Lytechinus pictus: one gene and its partner. The protein of the gene in region 1 binds, or shares a complex with, the protein of each later gene. Links are inferred from orthologs where the notes say so. Each region holds a gene or a part of one and is shown in the gene's direction. Other genes may lie near its edges.

What was found.
Region 2: the proteins of protein lin-9 homolog (region 1) and protein lin-52 homolog are in contact, whole or in part, in a crystal structure (PDB 6C48), measured with the Homo sapiens proteins. The link is inferred for Lytechinus pictus from reciprocal best matches to the Homo sapiens genes LIN9 and LIN52. Residues at the interface, in NP_001353174.1 of Homo sapiens: Leu335, Gly336, Phe338, Phe342, Leu343, Ile344, Val346, Thr347, Leu349, Ser350, Lys351, Leu353, Met354, Lys356, Lys357, Ile360, Leu363, Arg364, Asn367, Thr368, Ala370, Glu371, Lys374, Ile382, Phe384, Gln385, Tyr388, Ala389, Val392, Leu395; in NP_001019845.2 of Homo sapiens: Asp61, Met64, Leu65, Leu68, Gly69, Leu71, Thr72, Thr73, Leu76, Met77, Val80, Leu83, Gln84, Leu86, Ala87, Leu90, Asp93, Glu94, Glu97, Met98, Arg100, Gly101, Leu104, Asn105, Ile106, Leu107, Glu108, Pro110.

The regions. Positions count from the first base shown.
Region 1 is NC_087253.1:17,761,829-17,777,646, reverse strand, and holds the start of protein lin-9 homolog, read left to right. Parts: upstream 1-7,379; 5' UTR 7,380-7,423; coding exon 7,424-7,445; intron 7,446-10,586; coding exon 10,587-10,711; intron 10,712-11,995; coding exon 11,996-12,112; intron 12,113-12,634; coding exon 12,635-12,894; intron 12,895-15,818. UniProt on the Homo sapiens protein: Acts as a tumor suppressor. Inhibits DNA synthesis. Its ability to inhibit oncogenic transformation is mediated through its association with RB1. Plays a role in the expression of genes required for the G1/S transition.
Region 2 is NC_087251.1:29,394,375-29,410,083, reverse strand, and holds the start of protein lin-52 homolog, read left to right. Parts: upstream 1-8,433; 5' UTR 8,434-8,464; coding exon of another isoform or gene 8,465-8,495; coding exon 8,496-8,520; coding exon of another isoform or gene 8,521-8,548; exon of another isoform or gene 8,549-8,563; intron 8,564-8,720; coding exon of another isoform or gene 8,721-8,819; exon of another isoform or gene 8,820-9,004; intron 9,005-12,321; coding exon 12,322-12,390; intron 12,391-13,151; coding exon 13,152-13,186; intron 13,187-13,483; coding exon 13,484-13,553; intron 13,554-14,091; coding exon 14,092-14,175; intron 14,176-14,919; coding exon 14,920-14,987; 3' UTR 14,988-15,709. Other genes in the region: probable sodium-coupled neutral amino acid transporter 6, read right to left, coding at 356-515, 881-1,005, 2,029-2,129, 3,150-3,229, 4,005-4,160, 4,616-4,757, 5,581-5,662, 6,546-6,585 and 4 more.

The DNA.
Region 1 (15,818 bases):
AAAAGTTAAAAGCTACTGAAATCCCTCAAACTGATTGGCTGATAGTGAAACTGATCATTTGTTATTATAACAAGTTTTTATTTTAAACATGACACTACCACATGGTTTAATCTCACTTCGTCTACAATCTGTTCGTCTGAATTTTTTTCATTTTCATTTCATTTATTTCAAATCAAATCAAATCGATCAAAGCAGGAAAACATATAGCAATATTTTATGTAAATAATTATAATCAAAACGATCATATAAACAGGTTAGGAATGGGGGAGTCTGATACTCGAGTGGTCTAATCAATTATTGTAATTTGTCTAAGGGGTCTCGTAATCTAATTTCAGCTATAGGCTAGCATATACACATTTTGTCTAATTATCCGTTAAAGCTATGCCTAACACTTAGGACGCGTGTGGGGGATAAATTGCCAATTCGTCCACTGCCAACTCGTCTGCTCACCACATTAGTCTAATATGCCAGTCCGTCCATCAACATTTCGTATAACAACCATTTGGTCCATTAACCATTGGTCCAATCATCACTTTGTCTAACCAGCATTTCGTCTATGACCATTTCGTCTCATAACCAGTTGGTCTAAATCCATTTCATTTTCATTCATTTGGCACAATTTAACGCTTAGTCCAATTAGACCAATAAATGTATGGACTAAATGGCTATTGGACCAACTGGTTTCGGACGGAAAGGCATTAGACTAAATGAAAGTAGGCCATGTGGTGAGTAGACGAACTGATGGTAGACGAAATGATAGTAGACGAGTTGGAAATTGGACGAATTTGCATTAGACGAAACCGTGTGGGGTGTGTAGCAAGAATGCAAAAATCTATTGGATGTCGAATAAACATCAGTTTCATCTTGTATTTTTTTGTTGTTGGGGGGGGGGTGAATTTAATTGCAATTGATTGTTGATGTAGGCCTACTCGTTACAACAAGGAGTTTAAACTGATTTGCTATATATAAGGGCCTATATTGTCAAACTGCAAGTCTGCAACATGAATTTCATCTAATTGCAAATGTATGGGATAGAAAGTGTTTCCAAACCAAACTTTCATTATAACTTGACAAAGTAAAAAAATAATAATAATAACGTCGACGAAGTGAAATTAGACCAACTGGGTATTAGATCTAGACCAAGTTCATATCATGCGAGCTAATAGATGATCAACTAGCTTAGCCCATGTTTAATTCCTATCTGAAGATCGAGTAGACCAACTTAGCTTAATTATTGCATGGAGTGGCACCATATTCATCTGCATGGGGGCATGCCCCCCCCCCCACCCCGCCATTCATTGTATTGAACTGAAACTCTATTCCCCCCTATGAAGAAATTCAGTAAAAATCTTCGCTTGGCCTTTCCAATCATTTCTTTTGCCCTCCACTTTACCCCCCCCCCCCCGTGGCGTACCTGGCATATTTCGTCGGGGGGGGGGGCAAGCGATAAGGATGAACAAGGTGGGGGCTAGTAGGCATGGACGTATATAGGCACAATTTTTTCAAGGGGGCTGATAATCATTGCCCAAATATCACCATCACAGTTTTTAATTTTCGATCGAGCGAAGCGAGCGAACATTTTTTTCAATTATTATTTAGCATTTTTACATGATGTGAAACATGCAGAAATTATACATTCGGTCATAAAATTACCAATACACGAGGATATTTGAGCACCTCGCAGTCCTCGTTGCCCTGAATTTTGCAGCCCACCCCTATATACACGTTTGGATGTGTAGGTCTGGCAGTGACAGTGAAGGTGGAAAAGGTTACCCAGGGGTGCCCAATAAAACAGTTTGAATCTTGCTACTACTGATATTTGCCATCGGGCGATTGCACTTTATTGTCAAAATTAATTCTTTTTTTTGTATATCATTCCAGAAATGAAATGTATTGGATCCAGATCGATATATTTCTAATCAAGTGGTAATTGCAATGTTTATATTAATTTTTTTTTTCTTTGAAGATGTTTACATTATGTTCCCAATTCTGCTCATTTGGAGACGTTATAAATGAGGTATTTCACATTGAAATCAGTTAAAAATAATAATATAAAAATAATAATTGCGAGCGCGAAGCGCGAGCTGATTTTTTTCTAAAAATTTAGACCTTAAACGATACATTTTGTGCACTTAATAATGTATAGGATGGGTATCTTCCTAAATAAATTATGCGAGCGCGAAGCGCGAGCTAAAATTTTTGATATTCCTTACTAGACAACTAGACATTCTGAGCACTTTCAGTAACCATGAACAAATTAGTTTCTAACTGAATAATAAAAATAATAGTAAAGGTATATATTTACCCAGGGAAGCCACTTCAGTTCTGAAAACTATTCTCCCAGTGGGCCCTGCTATTATTATTACTCCGGCTGTAGCTGGGCTGCCTAGGCGCTCAAGCATTCAGACAATTTCTTCCTACCGGGTTCCCATTCACCTCACCTGGGTTGAGTGCAGCACAATGTGGATGAATTTTTTGCTGAATGAAATTACGCCATGGCTGGGATTCAAACCCACGACCCTCCGTGTCAAAGTCAGAAGACTAATCAACTGGGCCACAACGCTCCACACGCGAAGAGCGACCTGAGGATTTGATATATTCCCCCCTGAAATGTGGACATTCTAAGCACCTTTTTTATATTTCGACCTGAAAACTTTACATTCTGAGCACTTCATTTAATCATGAACAGGATGGAATTTTATGCGGGTGCGAAGCTCGAGCTGAATTTTTCATATTCCGACCGAAGAACTTGAGCAATTTTGTAACCGTGAACAAATTGCGCATGGTTTCTAATGATATATTTTTGATTTTTTATATTCCGACCTGAAAACCGGACATTCTAAAGTAAGAGAAAGTATTCTAATTGGTAAAACTATATCTATTTGGAGTCAGCAGCGCCCTCATCACGCAAGAATGGTGCAAAAACTCGGAAAAAACAAATTTTAAAAAACGTAAATCTACTCAAAAATTAAAAAAGTATTTTGTAAGCTGCACTTTTTTCAAAATCCATGTCATATTTTCATCAAATTCGGATAAATTGTAGAGGAATGCATATCAAAGGTGTAGGGAAGTTAAAAATATTGGGTCCATGTGCTCGTTTTTTAACTATGAGTGTCCAAAGTGATGCGAGTTGGCATGAAAATCGCCCAAAATGCGCGCAAAACTTGCAAAAGTCTAATAATGCCACTGGCGTAAATCCCGGGGGGGATGGGGGGGATATATCCCCCCCACTTTTCGAGGAGGGGGGATGGCCTGTACAAACATCCCCCCCCCCCCCACTTTTTACGAAAGAAATGAAAAAAAAAATCACAAGAGATAATTGTTTTATTGGTGAAAATTCTTCCAAAAATACCGCTTAACAAATAAAATAATATTATTGAATCATAAAATGCAAATAAAGAGCCAGTTCACCATTTCCAAACAAAATACTAATGTCCTTATTATAACATTGAAGAGAACCCCCCGTTTCTTCAAATTCATAAATGTTGGAGTCTTTGGGAAGGGATTAAGATGGAATGACAATTTTTTTTTAATGTAATCTCTAATAAAACCATTAAACCATCATGGGGTAAAAAGATAATAATATTGGAGGGGTATTTGCCATATGGACATACAGTGGCGTAACTACGGGGGACATGGGGGGCACATCCCCCCCCCCCCCCATCGGCTGACAAAAAAAACGGGGAAAGGGGGAAAGGAGAAAAGAGGGAGAAAGGGAGAGAAACGTAGTGGGAAAGAAGAAAATATTATTCATTATAATGTTATATTATAATTATGTTAAGTTACATTACATAAGAAACATTTTTATCATAACTTTATGAAACATAATTTGCCCAGGGCCTACGTCTTCATTGTTCCTGTTGCTCGCATTGTCTGTTTAACGAGATATATAATCATGTTGTACTAAAACATCCCGTTTTCAAGTCAATATAAACCAAATATATTTCCTAGCACTTGAGTTATCATTGTTTTATGTAGTGACATGTGCTTCTTTTTCATGACTCAAAAGTGATTGCCCCATGTTAAGGTCTTCGTATATATGAAACATTTCCTGTCCGTGATTACGTTCGCATTAGTGGATTGGTGAGATATGTCTGCTCTTCATGAATTCCTAAAATCAGTCCTTAAAATGTCCCTTCTTCTGATCTGATTAACAAAATTTTTCAGCTCGCGCTTCGCGCTCGCATCATTTGGTTAATGAAATACGTATGGTCCAAGTTAATTCCTACAAAGAAACCTTAGAATGCCCCACTTCAGGTCTGAATTATCTAAGTTTTCAGCTCGCGCTTCGCGCTCGCATTGTTAAGCGAGACAGGTACCTATCATGAATACACAAATTTGATTATAATGTCCCTTTTTAGGTGTGAATATTAAAAAATTTCAGCTCGCGCTTCGCGCTCGCATTATTTGATCAGTGAGATACATATCCGTTTAATGACATTGTCCTTAAAATGTCTCTATTAGGTCACTCACTCAGTCATTCAAAAATTTTGCTGGTGCCCCCCCCCCCCCAATGCCGTGACACACGGTACGCCACTGTGGACATATCAATGACAATTCCTTGCATATCTAAAAACATGATTGCAAAAAAATGCCAAAATATTTCAGTCATCCCCCCCACCCATCAACACGGATTTACGCCAGTGAATAATGCCGTCTAAAATGAGAATGATTCCGTAGTTTTGCCCCCGAACATTCAAATTCCATTTCATTTTCATCATGCTCTCCAGATTTGTAGAAGAATATATTCTGAAGGCATTAAAATATTGTAAATATGGGGTCCATGTGCTCGTTTTTAAACTACTGGTGTCCCAAGTGTTGCAAGTTGGCTTGAAAATCGCCTAAAAAGCGCCGAAAACATGTAAAAGTCTCTTAATACCCTCTAAAATTCAAATGGTTCCATATTTCGCTTCCAAACATTCAAAATCCATGTCATTTTCATCATACTCTCTAGATTTGTAGAGGAATATATTCTGAAGGCATTAAAATATTAAAAATATGGGGTCCATGTGCTCGTTCTTAAACTGTCAGTATCCAAAATGTAGCGAGTTGGCTTTAAAATATTGAAATCAACCTAAAATGCGCCGAAAACGTGCAAAAGTCTAATGATACCCTTTAAAATTCAAATGGTTCCATATTTCGCTTCCAAACATTCAAAATCCATGTCATTTTCATCATACTCTCTAGATTTGTAGAAGAATATATTCTAAAGGCATTAAAATTTTAAAATTATGGGATCCATGTGCTTGTTCTTAAACTGTCAGTATCCAAAATGTTGCGAGTTGGCTTGAAAATATTGAAATCCACCTATTATAAAGTGCGCCGAAAACAAGCAAAAAATATGATAATACTGTCTAAAATGCAAATGGTTTCATATTTCGCTCCCAAACATTCAAAATCCATGTCATTTTCATCATACTGTCTAGATTTGCAGAGAAATATATTCTGATGACGTTAAAATATTAAATATATGGGGTCCATGTGCTCGTTTTTGAACTATCAGAGTCCAAAATGTTGCAAGTTGGCTTGAAACAGCCTTAAATGCGCCGAAAACATGCAAAAGTCTCCTTATACCGTCTACAATGTCTAAAATACGAATGGTTCCTTAGTTCTGCTCCCAAACATTCAAAATCCATGTCATTTTCATCCTACTCTCTAGATTTGTAAAGGATTTTATTCTAAAGACGTTGAAATATAAAAACATGGGGTCCATGTGCTCATTCTTAAACTATTAGTGTCTAAACGGCTGCGAGTTGGCTTGAAACAGCCCAAAATGCGCCGAAAACAAGCAAAAGTCTTATTATACCGTCCGAAATGTCTAAAATACGAATCATTCCTTAGTTCTGCTCCCAAACACTCAAAATCCATGTCATTTTCATCAGTCATACCCTCTAGATTTGTAGAGGAATATATTCTTAAGAAGTTAAGACATTTAAACTATGGGGTCCATGTGCTCGTTTTCAAATTATCAGTGTCCAAAGTATTGCGAGTTGGCTTGAAACAGCCCAAAATGCGCCGAAAACAAGCAAAAGTCTGTTAATACGGTTTAAAATGCGAATGGTTTCGTGGTCTTGCTCCCAAACATTTAAAATCCATGTCATTTTCATCATACTTTGCACATAGTTACTTTAGCACCTGAATATTCCAAATATGCAAAAATTAACATGGGTCCATGTGCTTGATTTTTTGGTATAGAGCTTCAAAGTTAACCCCAATGGATGATGTTTTTAAGAATTGCGCATCCAAAAGAATTTGGCATTTTTAGACCTCACGAGATCACAACAATAATAATTTAAAGCTCTAGTACTCAGTCAAAATCCATGAAAATTTTATCAAATTTCGCAATGTAATTAATAATTGTATCCTTACGATGGATAATGTATTTATATTGCTATTAATTTTTTGCTTTTCAAGTCTAACAGCACTCTCAATTCTTAGAAATTGCGCGAAAGATAACAAAAACTCAACCTCAAAAATGTGAAATTTCAATAACAAACTTGAGAAGTACAAGAAATGCTGCACTTTATTCAAAACCCATGTCATTTTCACCAAACTTTGTAAAGTTGTAGAGGAAGGTATACCTAAGAGGTGCAAACAATATAAATATGGGTTCATGTGGTTGTTTTAAAAACTATCAGCATTTATTAGAGCAAATGTGCTTTTCAAAGCACCCCAAAATGCGCCAAAAGCTTTGTATCTATGTGATGAAAAATTCCAAACCACTCTACCACTATTTTATTCAAACTCGGGGTCATATTCGTCATACTTTGCAGCACTACAGAGTAAAACATTTTGAAATTGTAGAGGTATTTAACAAAATGGTCGACGGAATAATTCCAGTTTATTAGCTTCATAAGATAACACATCGGGGGAGCGTTTCATGAAGGGACTTTGTCCGACAAGTTCTGTTTTATCCGACAATTACCATAGTAACAGTACCTCTCAGCCAATCAGAATTAAGGAAAGATGTCAGATATGACAACTTGTCGGACAAAAATGTTGATGAAACGCTCCCCGGATCTGCAGTTACTGCAAATAGGGAGAAAAATCAGCTCATACCTACAGCTGAATAATCACCTGTTCATCCATTGTGACGTCAGCGCGCAGAGTGTAAAATATGCACAGAGCATGATGCGCACAAACATAACTGTGGAACGTCCTTAAACTCTTCTTTTTCCCCTTCCCTTTTTTCTCTCTTTCTTTTTTCCTCTTATTTCCCCCCTTTTTTCGTTTTTTTTTCTGCTTGTGACTCGTCGGGGGGGGGGGGGGGGGCAGTCTGCGCTCCCCCTTAGGTACGCTATAGTGCCCCCCCCCCAACAAAAAATCTTGGTGCCGCTGCTGCGCTAGTATAATCGCTTCGCGATCTAAAAATAGCCTAATATCCCACAATGCATCTCGTTTCTTCAAAAAGAGGCGCGTCAAGATGGCGGACACAGCTCTTGAAAGTTTGTATCAAGTTCATTGCTTTTACATTTAATCTGTGTTGTATGCTTATTGGAGTAGATAATGAGATTGATGATGAAAGTGAGATAATGGTCTGAATCAATTTTGGCATTATTGCTGCATCTCTGTGCTTCCTAATTGCAATTACTTTCGTGACGGTATTCCGCGACGCTGGTTATTTTCCAGTCCCATATATTGAAAACTGTGTGGTAGATCTATCGCGAAGTCATTGCCTTGGCCTGGCGCAGTGGCCAGTGCAGTGACCAGTGTCAGTGAAACTAAAGTTCAATCTAGAACATATAACAAATTTAAGAATCTGAAGTATGCGTGGAGAATGTTAAGGATCTTGCCATTCATTTACTCCTAACCTGCTAACATTAGTCATTAGACAGCTGGCAGCCGTCTGTTTTTAATTTTATTTTCAAAAACAAATTTCTCCTCGTCGTACACAACACAGACATTGACACAGACGGCTCGCTATCGTGCAGCCACCATTATGCTGGTTAACAATGCAAAATCCCCCGATGGGGCTCATCGATTTTTGTCTTTATTTCATAAAGATTTAATATATAAAAAGAACTGGACAAACTAAAGACTAAAGTAAAGTAAAGATTGTTCAATTCTGTTTTGGCCAGAAATGCACCAAAACGGGAAAAAATAAACTTATAAGTGGAAAAATAGTGACTTACTTCGGCTGTCGCGCAACTCCAACTTCCCTGGTTGATCCGAACTTAATATATAAACATATGGCCGTTGTTTTTTACTCCCTGTACCGATCGAGTTAGAACTTCGGTCTCTGTAACTAGTGACAGTGTAACGTTAATTGGTGAGTAGAGCCAACGCAACCACCAACATACATATACAGAGACCGAAGCTTTTGGTGTAGCTAATATAAGAGTCAGACTAACGACATGTTAGAGTTAAGTCAAATGTATTGCTGTACACACGCATGGCCAAATTATTTCCAAACACCCTAAATGAGTTTTTCTATGTGTGCAAAATAATCCCTAATCAAGTTTTTCGCGGGCTATTAATATTCACACATTTTGGCCCCTAAACAAGTTGTCGCCAGAATATGACCCCGGGGCTGGGGAAAAAAACAGAGGTTCTAACCTAAACTCGTTTGGCTAGTCTTTAAAAAAGGCTTGCCTTTGGAAAAAAACACCCTAAATACATTTGACCAGTCTTTCAAAACTAGGCCTACCCCTTTTTTAAAATCTGTGTTTTTGATACCCTTGACGAGTGCACGCACGGCCCGCGTCCAAAACTGAAAAAACACCCCTTTAAACGTTTTTTTTTGGTCACGCGTGTGTACAGCAATATATTTGACTGCCCCCCCTGGAGTTAAGTACTTAGTTAGTCTCGGCATGCTGCCTGAAAAGTGATGCGAGTCGTGATTATCCGATTTATTGTTTTATCGAGAAATAAGTCAAAATGATTTAAACTTAGACAATGATTTTCTTTTAATTCTTTATTTTTATAGATTCTAGATCTAGTCTCTATATTGAAATCTCAAATAAAAAATGGCAATATCGCTTACCTCGGCCTGGAAAGTTGTTTTGCCAGTTGTAGAGGCGCACAGCCAATATGGGAGACTGTCTCCCATGTGGGAGATTATCTCCAATATTAGAGACTTTTGTAAAGAATTTGGGTATCCAATTTCAGACACAGTCACCAGATTGGGAGACCAATTTCTTTTGTTTACATTTACTGCAAAAGAATTACCTTGACGGCAAATAAAAATGTGATAAGCAGATTCCTCATGAAAAATTACCCTTTTTAGACGTCTACTTTAAAAATTCACTGTCTACTTTTGCTTTGATAATGATTTTTTTTTTACCCACACACAAAACAAAAGGGCTTCTGACCTAAGTGAGACAAAATTTTGGATGGAAAAAATTACGCTTTTGTTGGTATTGTTTTATTCTTTTTGCAAAGCAAGTCTCCACTATGGGAGACAATCTCCCATATTGGAGAGAGTCTCCCATATTGGCAGTGCGCCTCTACTGTTCGCATGTCTTTTCCACGCCCACAGAAATAAAACTAAAGGAAGCCCAGTATGATAGTGCTAATAAATTTCACAACCTTAATTTAGCGCGTTGGTAAATTGTCTAATTCTATGTATGCGCAGTTTCTATGATTATTTGATAAAATATCGGCACCAATAAATGCAATAAACATACTTTTGAATTATTATTGGTGATGATAATTTTTTATAACTTTTTAAAAAATCATTTAAAGTGACGACAAGTTTATTAAAAATAGAAAAATTCTATGTGCCTTGAACAAAACCAGCAGTACTAACTTTTATTCGTTTGTCCATAAACGATATACCAAAGTCTATACAAAGAAAATATTGGACACTTCCCTGACTCTCGTAGCACTTTAGATCTACCGGTACATCGATTTGCGTGTAAAATAGTTTGAGTACCTAGCAGTAGAGGCGCCGGTCAGCATATTGGGATGGTCCCAGTTGACAGGGACTGTCTCAGTTTTCAAAGAGTTATCCACACAAGAAATCTAGGAAAGTTCATTCACCTGTCAAGTGCCGACATCAATCGAGTGTGCTTGTCAATGTAAACATATCAGGTTTCATAACATTATTGGAAGACGGCAAGTCGTGAAAATGATGGTGAACTGGGGGAATGGAGGTCACTGAATATATTTGTTGCACTCTCAATCCCCGTAATTGCCGTCTATGTCCTGCAGGGGTAAGTGAAAAAAAATTCCCCATAAACAAGGACAATCTCAATTTATCAAGACACAATTTGTCTTGGCTTATTGAGGATATCCTTGTTTTCTGGGACAATCCCAATTTTTGGAGCGGCGCCTCTACTGTAGTAGTGTCTTTGATATGAATATAAATCGCGCGCCCTTGTTAGACAAATACGGCCCTCGTGAACATCAAGAAAAATACAGGGAATAATTTTGATTAGCATTTTTGGTCATAAGAGAAAAGCTCCCAACTAGGATCTGTACAGTCCTGTGTCAAAAGACTTCATGTATACAGTAGCAGTAGAAATAAATATGGAGCAAATTGCGATGCAATACCAGTAAAATCATTCCCTGTGGCATCATAACCATTGTGGCCCAAGTGGGTGGTGTTCGTTCCCTCACTGTTTTTTTTTTCTTTGCTAATGCAGCATCTGCAGAGGCTTTGATGAGCCTGAGAAGTGCAGGGAAGGCTAAGCTTTCCCCGTCACCGGCCCCTAGTCCGAGTAAGGCATCACCATCGAGGACTACTCCATCCGTGCCAAGGAGAGGGCATGTAAGTATGATGATGATAAAATACATGTATTAGTGATAATGATGATAATCCAAATTAGTGATAATAATGATCATTGATATGTATGATTGTGATATTGATGATAATAACAATAACTATACTTCTACTTCTTTGAATAATCATGATTAGTGACAATGATGATAATCAAAATGATAAGGGGTCGCATTTCATAAGTTGGGTATGCAAAAAGGGTGGCGTATGAACAATTTTCCACACGGTGCCATGGATAAATTGTTGCTACATCACAGCATCTTGACCAAATTTATTGAGTAATATCTCATTTTGAAGCTAGAACTATAGGCTAAATATATTACTATGAATTAGATCAATACAATATCAGGAACAAAAACTATAGCACATTAAGTTTGAAATAACGGGTGGCGGAGCCGGTGGATGCGGTAAATGATAAAATATTAATTAAACCTAATAAACAACTTACTATAATATGTAATATGACTGTTATCCTCATATTTCTGGGCATTTTAAAGCAGGGAACAACTAAATGTCATAAAAATTTGACAATTTTGAAAATATGCAGCAATGGAATACATGTGTATGTCAGCTCTGATCTGCAACCTAATCAATTAGTAAACCAGAGAGATTTGGTTAATTATCTAATTTGTAATCTTGATTTTTAGTACAAATGTTGTGTATCATTGCAACAAACATTTCTACCCATGATGTTGTCATTTTGCCAAGCATATAAATACAGTGACAGGTATTTTGGGGGCAAAAATGTGAAATTAAATATTGTTAATTAATTAGTATAATTAATATGCATACAATGATAGATAATTATTCAATTTTTGGTACAGATTTAATTATTGATGTTTCAAGATTATAACTGCAATTTACTAGGGTGATCTAATGTTGCATTAACTTTTGACACCATTTTATGTGCAGCAGGTCCAATTTGAAAAAAACACATTTCAAAATTCACATTTACATGGACGTCTATGTAATAATTATCTGTTAATTAGTCATTTTAAGGAAAAATAAAGGTATTCGAGACTTAAAACTTTTCCATTATTTAGAGAATGGTAATAGCTATAACATATCAAAAAATAAAATTTTTGACAATTTTTACCCTGTTCGCGAAATTGGACCACCTTATGACATGCAACCAAGGATGATAATTCTGATGATAACAATGATCATAGTAATAATGATGGCAATGATGATGATGATGATAATGGTGATGATGATGATGATACAGAAGAATAACTTTTTACATTTGAATGTATCTGTTTCAATTTGTCATCCCAGCCCACAAGAATCCGGAAGAAAAATCGGAGGATATTCAACGATGATGAGGACACATCCATGTCTCCCATTAGGGCTTCACCGAGCAAAAAAATTAAGATGTCGCCATCTCAAAGAACAGTAAGATTTGATGTGTTTTGAATAATGAGGGCTATTTCATCAATGCACTTGCTAGCAATCGCAATATCAAGGTTTATGTGGAATTTAAATTATAGCAAATTTACAACAACTATGTAAGTCTGATGAAACGGGCCCCGGGTCATTCCACCCCAACTTAAAGTATTATTTATTTATTAGTCTTGTTTTGGTAGGATGGCTCCATCAGTAACTGGCATACTGTTGTCTTGGAGGCCCTACAAGAAAAGTATAAATATTACAAATATAATTATGAAAAGCATACAATGTAAAGTTAAGACAAACAACCTGAGAAGAGAACATAAAACAACACAAAAGGCCAGATTATAGATTAAGGCTATTATAATGCCAGAATAACAGAATAAATTATTCCAAATGGATGTACCAGCAAAACAAAAAAACTACTCTGTATATTGCATTTGAAGAAAAAAAATTTGTGTCAATGATTTCAATATCAATACTTGCCTTTGATTAAAAACAAATTCCCATCTACTCCTTTCTTTGCAGCCCACAAAACTGAATATATCAATCCCAACGCTCGTATCCCCGCCCCGTCCTAGTGCTTCCAAGTCTTCTGCCCATAATCCCTCCCCCGCTCCGATGCCGTCCAAGCCGTCTTCATCCGCCAGCACCGCAGCAGGGGGAAGCGGCCATGTGTCTTACAAGAAGTCCGCCCAGAAGCTGGGACAGCGCCTCAAGAACCTACTGAAATTGCCCAAGGCGTACAAGTGGTGCATCTATGAATATTTCTACTCAAACATTGACAAGTAAGTTCAGGGCCTAGTGATATTTAACTTAGTCATAGATCGTTGGGCTGAGTGTAATACGATTTATTGTTTATTCGGATGTTGTTTGAAGGTTTGCATGGTGGTATGTACAATCGTTGATGTGGTTTACGGTACACCATGTGAAGTGTTGTAGAAACAGTGGATAGGAGAAGAGAAGAAATGGATAGGCGAGAAAGTGGAGATTTGAGAGTAGAGTATTCTTTCTTGAAAGTAGTCCTGAAAAGGACTGTAAACCAGGAAAGATTGATGAGTTGAGAACAGCTTGAGTAGTAGAGCTAGTGAGGAGATGCTGGCTTGAGTCGGCGAGTAGAGATGATGAGTAGTAGAGAGACTCGACGTTTCGGGCAGGTTGACTGTCCGTCTTCAGGAGTGTTTATTGTAGTCAATGCAAACAAACCATAAAAAATGTTCTATGATGATGACTAAGCTTTGTGTTACAGGTCCAGGACCCAGTTATATAGGCCCGTATTCTGAACTCAGGTTTAAATTAAACCCTGGTTTTAAGTTGTGGTTTAACTATGGAAAGCCGATTGGGGAACGGATCCCTAACAGTACCAATCCTCTCTTTTATCTCAATTGACACTCACATTGTTGATAATTGTTTGGGAATGATAACTGAAGCATATTTCTTCATTATGAAAGCAAAAGGAAACGAATTAATAAATATTCGAAATATACAATATAAACAGAATTTTAGAATATTTGGCTCCCCATAATCTCAGCACATAGTAAGACTGGTCTAAGTTAAACACTTCAGAATACAGACCATTAAGTTTAGTGGTTGATAGTTGAGCTGATTCCTACAATTGTAAAAATAATTCCTGTGATCAATGTCTAAGCTTTACGTTATGGAGCCTTAGGATGTTGTTTGATAAAGCTCTTAGAAAATTTTAGTGTGATTTTACAAATGACTAGAACATGTTTTTACGTGCTAAGTTAGCAAAATAGGAAATATCATTTAGCAGAAGATAGGGCCATCAGTCGTGCATGAAGTCATCCATAACTTACAAACATTTTTTGACATGGGACCCAGGCCCCATGAAAATGCATTGCAATTGATCATACAACAAAATTAATTGAATTGGATTTTGTATCAGAATTGTGTAGTTATATTATATTGGATGGCTCAGAATGGAATACCAGAAATATTCCAAGAGTTTGGGCAAATATTCCACGAATCGTAGATGAGTGGGATATTGGCCCTAACGAGTGGAATATTTCTGGTATTCCATGAAATAAAGCCATCCAATATAATTTCATCTTTCCCACCCCCAGCAATCAAAAAGAGGGAGAAATTTGACTGAACAAGTCACATCGCTTATCACATAATGGCATCATTACTTCATAAGATAAAATTTGGTAGTTGACATGCGACTTACATGTAGTTCATTATGACGTCATTGAGCGTCGTGCTCTATGCTGCGCATCGCATTGATTTAATTCTACGCATTTTATATTTCATGCATTTGTGCATGTGCACTATACTGTTGAATATGCTCTCATAGTCAATAGCAAATTTTGTACAGGAGCCTATGGGATATTCTTCAGATTTTGGTCCATTTAGGGATACGCTCTGATACTGCACAGGCAATTGATGCAGACCGAAATATGCTTTTTTTAATGCATCGCTAAAACTTTATAGATGATGATAAATAATAATCCTTTATACAAAGCTCCACATTAACTTTTTTTGGTGGTGGCCCGTTCGGGCCACCAAAACCATCAAATAATTTTTTTTGGTGGCCCGATATTAAAGTTTGGTGGTCCGAAAAATATAAAGAAACACATTAAAAATTAATAAAACAAACTTCTGAAATATTAATTCTGCAGCCACTACCACTAAGTTACTTTCACTTAATCATCTTGTATGTAAACCTTGTTTGCTGTTATTTTACTTTGCTAATTGGCTTGTGGTAAAATATAAATTGTTTCTATCGTTGTAAAAATGAAATGATTGAAAGAGAATAAATGAATTTTATTGTTCGCAGGTTGTGTGGACTTTTTTTTAAATCTCTGTATAGACACACACTCATAATGGTAAAATAAATAAATAGTGCATAGTAAACTAAGATAGATGTACAAAACAATGGTTTTTCATTTCTTCCTCTTTGAATCCTAAATCCTAGATTATGCAGGCCCCAAATCCAGTTTATTTCTGTTTTCTCTTTTGCAGCATATTATAGCAGGAGAAAATCACAGAAAAATATGCTGCAAAATTAGAACAATGCATAAAAGGGGGAAACAAATGAAAATAATTTTCAAAAAGTATATTACAAAAAGAAAACAAAAATAATAAAAGAAATAAGTGAAATAAAACAAAAGAAAGAAAATGAAGAAAGAAAAAAAAACAAAGAACAGGGAAAAAAAAGAAAAGAAAAAATTTAGAGAGAAAAAAAAGAAAAGAAAGTGAAAGAAAAATGAATAAAACAAAATTAATATAAACATGGGGAAAAGGGGAAATTAAGAAGCCATTACAAATATTTTTTAACAGCTGTGGCAACAGTCTATTCTGACTGGAATATAATTAAAAGCCAAGCAAATAATTCTCACTTACCTTCTGGGAATGGCACATTTTTGTCTCACCTGTATAGCAGAGTGAGACTATAGGCGCCGCTTTTCCGACGGCGGCGGCGACGGCGGCGGCGGCGACGGTGGCGGCGACGGCGGCGTCAACACCAAATCTTAACCTGAGGTTAAGTTTTTGAAATGACAGCATAACTTAAAAAGTATATGGACCTAGTTCATGAAACTTGGCCATAAGGTTAATCAAGTATTACTGAACATCCTGCCTGAGTTTCATGTCACATGACTAAGGTCAAAGGTCATTTAGGGTCAATGAACTTAGACCATGTTGGGGGAATCAACATCAAAATCTTAACCTAAGGTTAAGTTTTTGAAATGTC
Region 2 (15,709 bases), on another chromosome or scaffold:
CAAGAAAAGAAAAAGGGGAAGTTGTCTAACTGACATGTGTATGCATAGATTTAAACATTTTTGTTTTATATAACAAACAATTCATATAATAGTAATAATACAAACTTGCCAAACAATGATAAATTATTGTTCCTGGTATTTTCATTTTCATAAGAGCCTTGTTGCAGCATATTTTCTCTCCATAACATCTATAAAAATGTCTCTAGTACAGATGATACTAGCACAATGGGACTTTGCTTGCTTAAAAAGGCAATCTCTTCCATCTTAACATAGCAATTAAAGAGTTATCCGATGTTTATTATTACAGGTTTGGACTTTTTTTAATATCATTGCAAGTTTATATTTATTTGCTTACCTATGACACCAAATATTTCCATGATGTTTGGAACACAGATGGCAAATGTTGTGACTAAGGCGAGCAGAATGAATGTCGTCAGGAAATAAAGTTTCCATGAATACCTGGCTGATGCTACGGGAAAGGCAGTCCCGGCTATCATCATGAATGCTATACGAGCCTGAAATGGATTACAAAATAGTCAAGAATATCAAAATTTTGACACTTGACGAGGCTGAGTCATACCAAGAACTTTTTAAAATGGGACCTTCTGCCATCAAGCCAATCACTCAGCATATTAGAATGGAAAAGGGTGTTTATAACAACTTATCATGTTATGCAGGGCCCAATGAAAGAAAAAATTACAATGTTGAAGTGGCTACCCTTGGTAAATATCATATATTGTTATTATGACTGTTATTATGATCATGTTGAGTCAGATGTAATAAGTTGAGTACCAGAAATGCTTATAAATCAAACTGGAAAGTTTTCACATTTGGTTATCCATTTTTAAGCCACAGATTTTAACGTTTGGTCCTGACTTACAGGATAGTGTATGATGGGTACTGTGAAGACAATGGCAGTAAGAACAGCTATTCTGATGATCAAGATAAGAAGGTCATCCTCTTTGTATTCGCTGTAGCCATGGAGTATCTCACTATTGATACCATCTGTAGATAGATGAGAAAATAATTAACAAGCACAGTGAACAAATCTCTTCATGAGTTCTTTTATTAGACCAAGTATAATGTAAACTGAATGGATATTTTCCAAACTGACAGTAGACCAAATAAGCCCGTATGATAAGTAGACCAAGTGAAAATAAACTATATTATTATTTAAATCTAGGGTTTTACAGGCGCAGATATTTTTTGACGTCTTGCACGCTTATTTCAAAGAGACAAAATATTAAAACTGATTTTTAACGTGCATGCCAATGAAAACCATCCAATATTGAAAATATTGGACGAAATGAATATTTTGCCCCACCCACAAGATTATCATTGGTTAATAAATGATTGTGCGCATGAAGCTTTTGTTACGTCACAATGAAATTTCGTCGCGTATTAGTTGCCAGGTGTGGTAAAGGAGAGTCAATTTATTGAATTCAAATGCGCTTGCACTATACGCTTGCGCATCTTTACTTCATTACAGAGATTTCTTTTTTTTTAAATGACAATACTCAGGCGCCATGCTCATGATTTACAGGATTGCCATAATTGATGGTTACTAACCTTTTTTTTGGGTTCATTACTTTATTTTTAGCTTTGTGGGGGTATGTAAATAATAATAATAATAATATTGGATGACCAATTTTCGTGAGATGCGTAGAAATATTGTTACTCGCTGAAGAACAATATTGGATTCGTCTTCGACTCATCCAATATTGTTCTTCAGCTCGTACAATATTTCTTTGCATCTCACTCAAGGCCATCCAATATTTCCTAATTATCACCCACATTCTCAACCTTAATTACATATTCATCACTAAAAATGAAAAAAAAATGCTGTTTTTTGCTTGTCAAATTTTTCCTCGGGAAAATGGGCCCTCCCCCCCCCCTTGGAAAATCCTGGATCCGGCCCTGATACTCATGGCACTTTTTAAAACCAAGACTAGTCACATTATGGAGGCTACAGCAGAACACTCTCATCTGAACCAAGATTGAGTATTCCCTCTCCCACCATAAGCTTACCATAGAATGTAAGATATCCAAACAACGATGCTATCATATACAAGGTGTAACAAACTCCAATAGACGTGATAGTAACATTCTGCATCCTGCGCTTCGTTGGTCTACAGGAAATTGCAAAAAGAAGAGAAAGTTAGTATATATATGCTGCAGGTGTGCATTATGTTAATATATCAGAGATGATCCTTTTTTTTCTTTTCATTGCCAGAATTTCTCACATTTGCTGGAATATTCTCTGTCAAACTATATCAAGGTCATGCATTTATCATGAACATATTGTCCCATTATCATATGGTTCATATGCTTCCAAAAATAAATGTCATAATAATTTGCAATTTCATACAGATAATTCATCACTCAAATTCTTGATTAAGTTTGATGATTATATACATTTCATTTAATTGTTGCCAAATACTTGTTTTAACAGATTAGTGGATAATTGATGTTGATGCTGACAATTTATTTCAAAAGGTGAATTATGATATTATATAACAATTAATCCACATCACAAACATTCACATAAATAAATCTGAGTATAATGTGTTGTGGTTTTAATGTAAAGCTTACTTTTTGAGAATAAAGGTTATATCAGCTATTAAACACAACAAAGCAAATATCAAAGTTCACCTTTGATACCTGATTCTATGTACTAGTATATTAAAGGTAGAAGATAGTAGTTGCAACAAACAATTATTTCATGAGAAAGTCTTTAAAATCAAGGTTAATTGTCAAAATATCATCATATATCTAGATCTGGTACATTAAAGTAAGCTTATCTTTGGGAAATCATGAAATCTTAGCTCACCCTTGTAAAAAAGTACCATACAGTACCATGGTACACTATGGTATTACCATAGTATTACCATAGTAATACTATGGTAATACCATAGTATACCATGGTACTGGATAATTCTGATGATCATTAACACAGAATAGCAAATGTGGGATAATGTAGGCCCTATTAATATTGCTAGGAAAAATACCCGACATTTGATGGAATTCCGTGCTTATTTTGCTGATTTCTCAGCAATTACGCATTTTCTTCCAGAGCCTTTTGGCACATAGGGTGGTAATTTTATTGGATTCTGTTCAAACTTTTGAGATTGTTACCACAACTGGTATACCTTGATAATTCTGCATAGATTGGAAGTACTGCTGTGTGGCACACGAAGGAGAAAGCCATTGTCGGTATAGTGTATGCTGTCTGATGGTGAAAGTAAAGGAAAAACAACAAAACAATATATATGATAACAAACAAACTGAGAAATGATGCATAAAAGAGGGAATGGTGTTTGAAAAGAAGAAAACTGACATTAAATAACTTTTGCACTAGACATATCCATTGCACACAGAATCTGCACATCTCAGACTTTATAAGGGTCTTCCTTTCTTTAAAAGCATCGTCATACGCCCAAGAAAGCCAATTGGATATTGGTGAAATGTCTCAACAAGTAAGCTGTATTTCCAGTGATTTGATCTGAAGTCTTTATATTCAAATATGACCAGATGGATGAGAAGAATTTACATCAGTTTGTAGTATAGAATGATTACTATAAAACAGCTAGGCAGGTATTTAATTGAAAGTATTGATTCTATACGGTAAGTATTTTACTGAGCATTTTACTTGGCTAAGCAAAATGCTTAAACTAGTGTTCAGATCACATCCAAGTATTTTACTTTCTCAAGCCAAACTTAGATTTAATTTCAAACAAAGCCCAAAAATGCAAATTGAATACCAAACATGGTGAAGTATTTTACTTCAGCAAAATACTGAGTAAAATACTTAAAATTCTGGCTTAAGTATCAAATTTCATTTCACTTGAAATATGATCACAACATCATAAACTAAACACCAGATGCTCATTTGATGACAAACTTACAATTATGGTAACTATGCCCAGTAGCCAATCAAAATCAAAGTATCCATAGTATTTATGAACAGGCCCATATATGTACAGTCACAATAATGGGATTGTTACCTGAAGAGTGATAGTAAATAGCTTGGCCTTGCATTGGTTGGTCTGGTTATCTTTAGGATGGTAGTACATATAGTTTTCAAACATATTCTCTAAAGTGATATTTGGTCCTGGTGTAACAGGAATAGGGCATGGAAATCCATACTTCTTATACACAATCTGGAGAAGAAAGCATAAGAAAACATTTTTTTTGAGAAGGTTATCCCTTTGACAACATCATCATCGATGTACATCATCATCCACATCATCATTAACATCTTCATCATCATCACCATCATCATCAATCACCACCACAACCATCATCATCACTAGCATCATCATCATCATCACGAGCATCATGACCACCATCACCACCATCATCACCATCATCACCACCACCATCACCATCATCACCATCATCACCATCATCACCATCATCATCATCACCATCATCACCATCATCATCACGAGCATCATCACCACCATCACCGCCATCATCACCATCATCATCATCATCACCATCATCACCATCATCATCATCATCATCATCATCATCATCATCATCATCATCATCACGAGCATCATCACCACCATCACCACCATCATCATCACCATCATCATCATCATCAACTCACCCCCACTGTGAAGAAGACCATACATAGAATGGAGAAGGCACTGGTGTAACCAAGGAAACCGATCTTTGGCAGGCAAGCCAGGGGGAGGATGACCAATAACACAAGGAGTAGGACCAAATAGTCACCATTTACATACCATTCACTGCATTGAATTAGGAGTGTAATAGAGTACTGAAGTGTGACATGATGAAAATACAAATTTTGCATTTCATTGTTTCTCATGTCATATCTTGGAGGTGCATGACAGCTAAAATTTGCTAGGAATTGGTTCAACGGGGCCCAAGATATGACCACATCAGGGGCCGCGGAAACGGGGGGCCTCGAGGCCCCGCACTTTTTTCCAAAACGTGTACAAAAACGTAAAAATTACCATCTGATTATGTTTTTTTGCATAGTCAACCCCCCCCCCCCCCTCTTTAAAAACCGTTCCGCAGTCCCTGCACATGAATACTGAATTAGCCCTATTGAAGTCAATGTATTATTGGCCTGGTTCTAAATAATTAACTTTGAACTTGATTATGTGACTTGAAATTAATACAAATGATGAGTGATGTCCAAGTTTTATGAAATATAAATAATTTGATTTCTATGTTATGATGAAATTTCAAATTTTAACCTTGGTTAAGATTTTGATGATGATCTCTGTAGCCGCAGGCAAAACAATTAATTTCATATAAACATAAAGTTCATTTAATGAATACATGCATATTCTATATTCAAGTAAGAAGGCATTTTGATTTTGTTGTACATGCACTGCATGAAAAATCTGCATGTTATGCTTTTGCCAGTGAAAATTTTTGATTTCCGGGTGAGGGGTGCATATTTTCAATGCTATTAGTACATCAATGTTCATAATAACCTGCCTCAGAGGCAATTTGACATTATGAAAATTGAGATTGATCAAAAATATGATGAAAATAACAATTACAACTTTAAAATTTATGAATACTTGACAAGACACTTACTTTGCAGTCTGGTCTTCATGTAGGAACGTCTTGAGAACTGCTGGCATCTCATTCTTTACAATAAATAGATAACTTGACATAGCTGGGAGGATAGACAAAATAACATTACTAAGTAAAATTTAATATAAAATATTGTACTTTCAAGTTCTAATCAAATGACTGATAGTGATGACATAAGTAATCACAGAATTTGTGACATTGGTCATTATATTTTTATCACAAAATATCTTGATAGTTTACTTCTAAATACAAACTATTCTTATTTCAAAGGCATTTGGCAAACATTATTCAATCAATATTTTCTGTCAATATGTATGCAGACAATACACTAAAAAATGTTGATAATCTTTTGTTTCCCTTTTTAAAGTTATAGAATTTCAAGAAACACTGAAATATACCATTCCTTTTAAATTGGAATCTAGCCCATCAATACTAGCATTCAAATGAAGGATAAAAATATATTATAAGCCCCTACCATCATCAGTATTGAACTCAATTCTTTTTACCAGGTTAATTGCTTTTAAGGTATTTGTCTTAGTGATTTATTTATTAGTCCACTTTCCTAAATACCCATTTATTCATGAGCTAAGTTTGAAATTGACCCGTAAAATCATATGGTTTTCTTGAGGATGAAAAGGTGGAAGGACAGATGACCCTAAAACATAATGCCTCCAGCAAACCACCTTGAGGTTTATCTTAATTACATCGGAGTAAATCATATTACAAAGAGGAAAGTTAATTGTAATAGACTCATCACTCATCATTAATAATGGAGTAAATCACCCCTAATTAATATTACTACTGATATGATGATGATTATGATGATAATAATAATAGTAATAATACTACTACTAATAATAATAATATTAATAATGATGATGAAGATAATAATAATAATAATTATAATTATAAAAATAATAATAATAATAATAATACAAGAACTAAATATTAGATCCTCTACTCACCACCAACATTTTGAAGGAGTATAGCAGAAGCTGCCATTAGCTATAACAAAATCGACAAAAATTCTCATTGAATTTATTTTAATACAGTTTCATAAATAGGGAAGGAAATGAGACAGATAGTCAGAAAATAAAAGGAGGGGTTTTATCAAGAGAGTGCACTAAACTAAGACATGACACTAAAATATGAACATAACATTTACTCAAATAGTAAGGGACTAAAAGCTTACCTTGCCTGGGACACCCATTGCACTGTTCCCTATATCTTCATATGACCTATGACCTGTGATGTCACACATCTTCAGAAGGAGGTGGATTGTGTAGTTTGCCATGACAGCGACAAGCAACAGCATCACACTATGGAAAAGGACAATAATAATCATTAAAAATACTTGGTCTATCTTCATCCCCTGATAAATTTCATTGTCTTGAATGTAAATTAAGATACACTTCATAACCTGCCATATTATCATAATGAATATTTTGATCATCATAAATGCCATCATCATTATCATCATCAATGTCATGATCAACATTATTATTCAATTTAACATTTCAAAGTATAAATCCAATTTACAAGAACATATATAACAAATAATTACAATTGACAAATAACACATGCATCTGCATATTTCTGAGAGGCATTTATCATTTTATGGGTGTTCATCCCACCGCTGCCACCATAATTGATGCTGAAAGAGGTAATTCCTAGTGTAACCTAATATTATACTAACAATCAGGTTCAATGGCCATTTGGTCCAATCACTCCAATTGCCACTTGGTCTAATTCCCACTTGGGCTAATTGTCATTGAGAAAGAGATATCAAATGGTGTTAGTAACACTTCATCTGATGACCAAGGTCATTTTCAAAAAGTTACATTTTGCCTGATCTTACACGTTCACATATACAACTTGATTATCAATTATATTTTCATGAAGAACTTGAAATCAGGATTGACTCCCTCTGTATAATTAGAAAAAAATAATATCATATTTCACGCTTTGCACTTCCCTTTTTTTCCCTTTTTTTTTTGCTTGGTGGTGAAACTTGGCCCCCATAGCTTCAAACTTTCATGAAATGGATCAAATGTGTAATACCTGAAGAGGATAATACCAGATTGTGCCATTGCATAGGGTAAGCCCAAGATCCCACTCCCTAATATAGCGTTCATCAAATTGAAAACTGATAGTCCAAAAGATGTCTTCCCTGATGTAAAAGGTTCCACTCTTTCCGTCATTGCCTCCTGTAGAAAAAAAGATTACCAATAAACTTTTTAAAGAGAGATAGAAGGGAAGGTAGCACGTACGGGATGGCAAGTGTCTATATTAGTGACTAGCAAGGATGGGCCAGGATGTAAAAGCGTTATTAGATCTATTCATTTATTTATTTATTGCAAATGTTTATCGAGAGTAGCCTGTTAATTCAGGCCCTTGATACAAAAATATACACAAATATAACCACTCATAAAAAATTACTCTGCATTATTATCTTCATACATAAAAAACACAAACATGAAGAAAACAAAAACATTTCATTATAAACTTAGTAGTACGATCATGCATGATGACGATTGATGAATTGTTTGGATTGATGACTACGGTAGTCACACAAAGGGACTAGTACTAGTAGTACATCAATTTTCATGTTTTGTGTTGCAACTTGCATGTTGTTGTTACTTGACTTGCCTGCTGCACAGAAGCTGAAGGTAATAAAGGTGTATCATCCATAATACCATGGTATACTATGTTGTTTGATTGTTCATCTGCATCTTCTACACAGCTCCCGCCTAAGCGATGACATTTTGGCTCCATTTCTTTTCTACTAAAAAGCCTAAAATGCTAAATTAAAGGTATACTATTAACTGCACAGCACTTAACTTTATTCATTCATTCAATATCAACGAAAATATAAACATTGTACCTGAAATGAACGGTAGAGGGCTCTTGTGAAAATGGCGTCACCAGCCGGCAGTGCGGGTAAATTTAATTTTTTTCTTCTTACCATTGTTCTAACTTTCAGGGTGTAATGTTGGGTTAATTTTTTACTTGAGTATAATATGAAGGTAATTGGAATTATCTTAAAATAAAATGTGTATATTGTCATCTTAAAAGTACAGTCTTTTGACATTGTGGTGTTGTTGCGATTGCCGTGATCGTGAGTGTGTGTGAATGAATACCGTAAGCTTTTCTGCAGACCACCACGCTCCGCTCCGGTGACTGTTCGGCGAGCTCCTGCCTTTAAAGTTACCCTGGCTGTACCAGCAGCTTGCTTTCATGATATTTGGTGGAAATGCACTTTCGTATCCATATGCATACAGAATGGCCAGTAAAACCAGGGTGACCAGATTTCACAAATGAAATACGGGACAATCGACAAAGCACAATGCACGAGCGGATCGACTGAGCCATGCAGTCCTTGTCTTGATTTTAATTTTTTTTTTAAATGAACAAAGTCAAACTCAAAGAAGGGCTAGAGCCTAGGCCACTCATTGGGCTAGGCTAAGTAAGTTAGCTCTAGCCGACTTTAGTTTTGAGTTAAAATTGTAACAAATTTAAAAAAAAGGAAGGGAGGGTAAATGAAAAAATGAAGGAGAGAAAGAAAAGAGATGAATTGAGAAATGAGAGGAAAAAAATGAAGGGGAAAAAAAGATAACCGAATAAAAGAAGGTTGAAACGGCAAGACTTCCATATGTCCCCTCCACTAAAATTGAAAAAGAAAAAAATATGGAGAAGGTTTATCAAGAATTATCTAACATGTATCTAAGAGATTTAAGAAGGAAAAGTTGGATACATACCAAAATATGGCTTTATTCCGTCAAAATTTCGAGCGTGTGTAATTCCCAATGGCATCGGTTTATTTAGTCAGAAAAATAAATGCCCAGCCCAATACTCTTGGAGAGTAGACTAGTCGTAATATCAGTTGATATGAAATTCATACATCACAGAAAATGCCTCTTCTTTATTTGTTGACTAAATTTCAAAATGTTTCTTCTCTGTCATTTCAAGTATGATGATATATATGATTTTCTGTTGACCGATTTTGATTTTTTTTCTTCAATCTGGTAGAGCTGCATGAGGTTCACCAAACTTGTACACAAAATTTTGAAATTTTGTCTAGAAAATTATTTATGCTAATTTATGCAAAATTTATTCATAAACACAAAAAATGTTTTTTCTTCTTCATTTGTTGATCAATTTCAATTTTTTTTGCTTTATATGATAGCTCAAGGTGGTGATTCAAAATTTCAACACAGAATTTTGAAACTCATTCAATATGCTAATTTATTCATATATTTTCAAAACTCACAAAAAATACTTATTTATTTGTTGATTGATTTTGATTATTTTTGTTCCATCTGAGAGCTACATGAGGTTCACCAAGGTACTACACAGAGTTCAGAAATTTTGACGAGAAAATTATTTTTGCTTAATTTATATGAAATTTATTCATAGATTGCAAAAAATGCTTCTATGCCATTTCTTCATCAATTTCAATTCTATATCCTCAATTTACCGTATGTCACCAATATAATTCACTAAAGTGTCAACTGGGCTGAAATTAAAATTGTGTTAAATTTCGCTGCGAGATGCAGGATGAGCTCCACATCATTGATGTGCTAGTATACAGTCACTGACGGTAAATGGATTTGTGGCCTTTTTCAAGAGTTATCTTCAAATGCCAGCTTTTAAATAAATCAATGATTTTAATTGGAACAAATTACGAAAACTGTATGCATATATTGTTTATGTCAAACACACATATCAACCTATTGATGAAATCTTAGTTTCAGGCAGAATTACTATATAAACATAAAATCAATACCCCAAAACATACATCATTACAATACACAGGAGTGATGATTGCCAGGAAGATTATGGCAAATGGCAGTGATGAAATAGTTTACAGTCAGACCGCAGGTCCCTATGCTAATGAGCAAAAAGGCCAGATTCATCCAAATCATCTCGTGGCTGAATCCTCCTCCTTGCAAAATCTTGTGATTCGTGAGATTTTCTTTCTCTAAGAATTTACCTGTTTTAACCTCAAGTTAAATGAAATATTATTGCACCATCAGATAGAGTAAAAGTTACTCTTTCATATTGGTCATTTATTTTGTATACAATATTTTGTTAAATAAGTAAATTTCTGGCCTGAAAATGTGCCTCAAAACTGAATTTTCTTCCTCTGTTTTCTTTTGCAAATTGCGCAAAACTTTTTATTTTGAGCCTCTATGATATTTATATCAACATAAAGCTGAACTTCTGTACTTTCTCACAATGCCACTTTTGATATGCAGCACCTTTTAATCGGGTCAAGATCACACTTTTCCCACCAAGGTACAAGACGAGATTTCAGAAATTTTGTACTTGCATGAAATCCAGAGTTCCGATTGGCTGGATAAGAGTCACAGAACAACAGGCGCAGGGTATTTGAGGAGATTACCACATGGGAAGTGTGACCTTCCCACGAACCCAGGCACTGGAACCGTTGGAATTTGCCAGTGTGCGGTCTCTTTGACCAATCAGAATGCAGTATTCTTGTTTTCAAGCTGCTTTATGTACTTGGCAAATGAAAAGTGTGGTCTTGACCCGATTAAACCAATTCTTATTTTGAAGCCTATATCATTTCAAAGCATACATATTCAGCTTTATCGTGATATAAAAATCATTTGGGCTCAAACAAAAATAAAGTGTGAAAATAGCAGCTTTTGTCAGGTGAAAATATTTATTTTGTAGCATATTATTTTAGATCAAAATTTTAACCTATATTACAAAATCTTTGAATAAATCCAAACACATGACCTGAAAAAATGATTCTTCTTCTTTACAATGGTACCAAATTCATGAAATTCGATGCACAATTAGAGCAGCAATGACCGAATGAAAAGAGGTGTTTTGGTCCGCATCAAGCTCATTAAATATGCAAAACATCTCAAGTCATGAATATCACTTGGATGAAAGAAGCCACTTTCTTGGGACCTGCAGTCTGACTGTTTACAAATTAATCTTCCTCGCCTTAGCTGCTGCAAGTTGATCAATGATGAGATCAAAATTGACTCTTTCAGTTTCTTCTTTCTCCACACTCAGTAGAGCTAGATCACATAATTTGTCTTGGCCCATGGAGGCTCTCAAGTATGAGAGGATGAGTTTCAACTTGCTGAATGATCGCTCACAGCTGGCGATAGATACAGTGATTGTGAGCATTATCTGAATAGCAATGTGAAGGTCTGGGATTATTGCTGTAGTTGTGCTTCTTTTAGGCCGTAATCACATGAAATAGACGTAAAGGGAAAATTCAGATTTACTACCATGGAATACATGTACGCGTCACTCTTGCATGGAATGTCTGTCTTCATTAGATGTGAAATTATCCAGTCTGGCAGTCTCAGTTCTACCCATTTATTGATTGTTGATAGTCGTTGATTTGTTGCGCATGCAATGAATTGTGCAATTAATGATGTTGGGAGCCCTCTTGAGAATGAATTTAAGGCAAGCATGAGATAAAGTTTGCATTTTTCAATTCATTTCTGCAAAATGTCTGCTACTATGCCTACTTGCAACATTTTAATTCATTGTATGCTGCTGCAAACTTTCATGCTTGCCTTGAATTCGTTCTCAAGAGGGGGCTTGCGACAATTGGGCAATAGATATGAGACAACTGGTTATTTCTTCTACTCAATCAGCACTTTAATTGCCTATATGTTGAAATTTTAAAGGGTTGGATTGACAAAAACTTCTCACATTCACACAATATGTTTGTTTGTTTCTTTCTTTCAACAGATCTGGAAGCAACTCTCCTGAGTTTTGAAAGGTTGGACCGTGCATCCCCAGAGCTATGGCCTGAGCAAAGTAAGTGTTATTATATGGGGTGGTTTGTCAACATTTGAAAATCCAACTGTGTTCACAAAAAAAAAACTGTTATAAGTCCCCTTACCTAACGCTAGTGCAACTTAGTGGAATATGGTCAAATCATTACTAACAGAGATTAAACCAAAAAGGTGGTGTATAGAGATAAGGCCACCGCACACCTTACAACTGGGCCAAGATTTGATTATGGAACAAATCGCATTTTGCTTATTTTCTGAAAATTTGAATAAAAAGTATCTTTTTATTTGAGGATCAAATTAACTGAAATACTTACATGTATATAACAATTTTGGATGATTACCAGCCTTTATTTTGGAGTAAAGCCTAAATTAGTTTCAAATCGTAGCCAATTGTATGATTGCCATGAAGTCATTACAACTAGATATTAAATTTGCTTTTATTCTAATAAGGATGATAGCATAGTCGCAGATTTAAACATAGGTATTCATACAATGATTTAGAACATTACACAGTAAGATATTCCATGTCTCAATATTAGCATCAACTTCTACTTCGTTTTATTCTAAAATCTGGTTGCAGACCAATCGTAAGGTGTGCGGTAGCCTTAAGGCATTTGAGATGATTGGTTTAATACTCCAAATAACACCCTTTTGGGTAGAGTGTATCAGTTCAGATTGGTCTCAAGAAATGCTTGTTATTTATATTATGGTACACTATTTTATGGAAAAAAAGTAATTAGTATGAACTTTATTCTTAAGTTTTCTTTTCTTTTTTTCCCTCAGTTCCTGGAGTATCCAATTTTGCTGATATCAAGAGTGTAAGTGCAATGTATACAGTAGATTTATTCCACTGTTATTTTTGCCTATCCCCCTCCCCCTATTTTGCTAAGTGCATGAATTGGGATGGAATTAGAATTGGGATGAGAATATTTGGGGATATATTGTGAACAGTTGACCATTCTGATGAAGTTTTGTTAATATTTGCTCATCAATCTTATCTATTTGACTATTCCATTTCTTTTACATTTCCATCCTTTAGTAAATTATACATTCCCATATCTCCAATGGCTTGACATTATATGAATAATATGAATTTTTCAATATTTATTTCTTAGCCTTTCAACAATGCAAATTCACCGCCTTGGGAAGCTGATTTAGAGAAGAATGACATCGATATGCTCAATGGTAAGGTTTTATTGTTTTTTATAGCCATAGTATAGCACATAAAAAATCATTCGGCCAAATTTAAGAGATGGTTTAGAAAATTTATTTTGAAAACATAGTTAAGTTTATGCAAATATCTATCTTTAATTATGCATGAAGCATTCATTAATAATTGACTTTAGTTATACTTTTACCATGTGACATTGAAGTTACAATTAATATTATGATTTAAGCCAATCTTACAATTCATATTGTAAGTTTATCACAGATAATACACCAAAATAGGGTTGATAACGATTGTAAGATTTATTGTATCTTACGTTAAAGGTACAGAATTGTCATGGGGGAATCGCTTGACCAATCCCAAATTTGCTGAACCCCCCTCCCCCCCCACAAAAAAAGTAGTATTATTGGCACTGTTCATGTACCCAATTGATTTTGGATAGGAAAAAGCTTGTGGAGATACCAGTTGCTTCATAGTCAAAGCATGAACATGTGTTTTCTTTTTTATTATTATTTTTTTTCTGTATTTATATAATTTTGTTTATTTCCTTGACAGAATTGGGTAGTTTAACCACAGCCAATCTAATGGAGAAAGTAAAAGGGCTGCAGAATCTAGCCTACCAACTTGGCTTAGAGGAAGGTGAGTTTTGACATTCTTTCATCCAATCCTGCTGAAATGGGGAGATCCCGTCTTGATACCTGCTGGGTTGTTTTGATAGAAGCGGTAGAATAAAAACTGGGATGCTTTATAAAGCTGTCCATTAAGTGATATAAAACTTAAATGAATGATAGAAATATTACCCTTTTTCTATCATATTATTTCTCCCTTTATTTTACACACTCTGATTGTGCTCAAGGGGGCATTTAATGAAAGTTATCAGCACTGACTTAATTGTCAGTGCTGACAATTTCAGTGAAATCCTTGCTTTTGATTGGCTGAGAGGCACTGGCATCTGACTGTTACCATAGTAACTATCAGAGAAAATCAACTTGTTAGTGCTTACAACCTTCATGAAACGGTCCCCAGGATGCTAGATGCTATTTGAAAGATAGTGGGTAAAATTTGAGAATTAATATGTAAAACGAATGGAAAGTTGTCCATTTGAAGCATATGTTGTAGTTTGAGAATCTCTATAGAAAGTAAAATACTTTGAATTTCCATTAGTCTTTTTTTATAAATGATTTTGATTACACTTTTTTATATTGATCTTCTCATTTTACTCTTCTCAGATTTATTCTCTCCTTTGGTTTTGGTTTCTTTTTAAGCTTTATCATATTTACCATTCTATTTGAGTTGTTTCCAATATCATTATTCACCATACTCTTTTTATTTGACAACCATAGTTGTCTTACATTGCCTTTTTTTTTCTTCTTCTCTTTGCAGCTCGTGAGATGACTAGGGGAAAGTTTTTGGATGTTCTATCAGGTAGCAACAAGAATAAGAAGAAATGAAAATTGTCTATAAAATTCATCTTATATAGCAGAGACTCTGAAATGATGACAAAAAGAATGATCACTCAACTGATATTTATCTGCCTAAAGATTAGATAATAAAAAAACAACCAAAGCCTTGGCCTTGTATTGCACAAAAGTTTGCAATGAATACCAAATATGAAAGAACTATTGCGATTGGTCCTGATCCGTATTTGAACAAGATGCAGATGCAACAATGATCTTGATTGGCCAATGGTGTTTAGCTATTGGCATCCTTGCGTTACGGAGTGCAGGGTGTGTTTCATAAAGCATGTTGTCAACCTTTTAACTGACAAATTGGTCTAAGCACATCAGATGCAAGGATATCAGTTTTCAGGGAAAATCATTAACAAATTGCATCATGAAATATGATTTGGATCATACTTTGATTTTCAGCTGCTGGAAGTCCTTAGATACCGATATTGGTCATGTAAAGCTCAGAGGATATTTGTTATGAGTCAGCTCTCCAGCAATAAGGTTTTGCATTCTGAGAACAATAGGCCATTTCCTTGCTGCAATCATATCAAATACAAAAGTCTTGTGGAATGTAATATTAAATCCCTCCCTTAGCCAATGATGATAATAATGATAATGTATTTCAGTAGTATGAATGCAATTTAAATTATTTTTGTTTTGTGCCACCTCGCCTGGGTTATTTTAGTACAGTGTACAAGATGGGTTTGGCAAGTCTCTTCATTGGT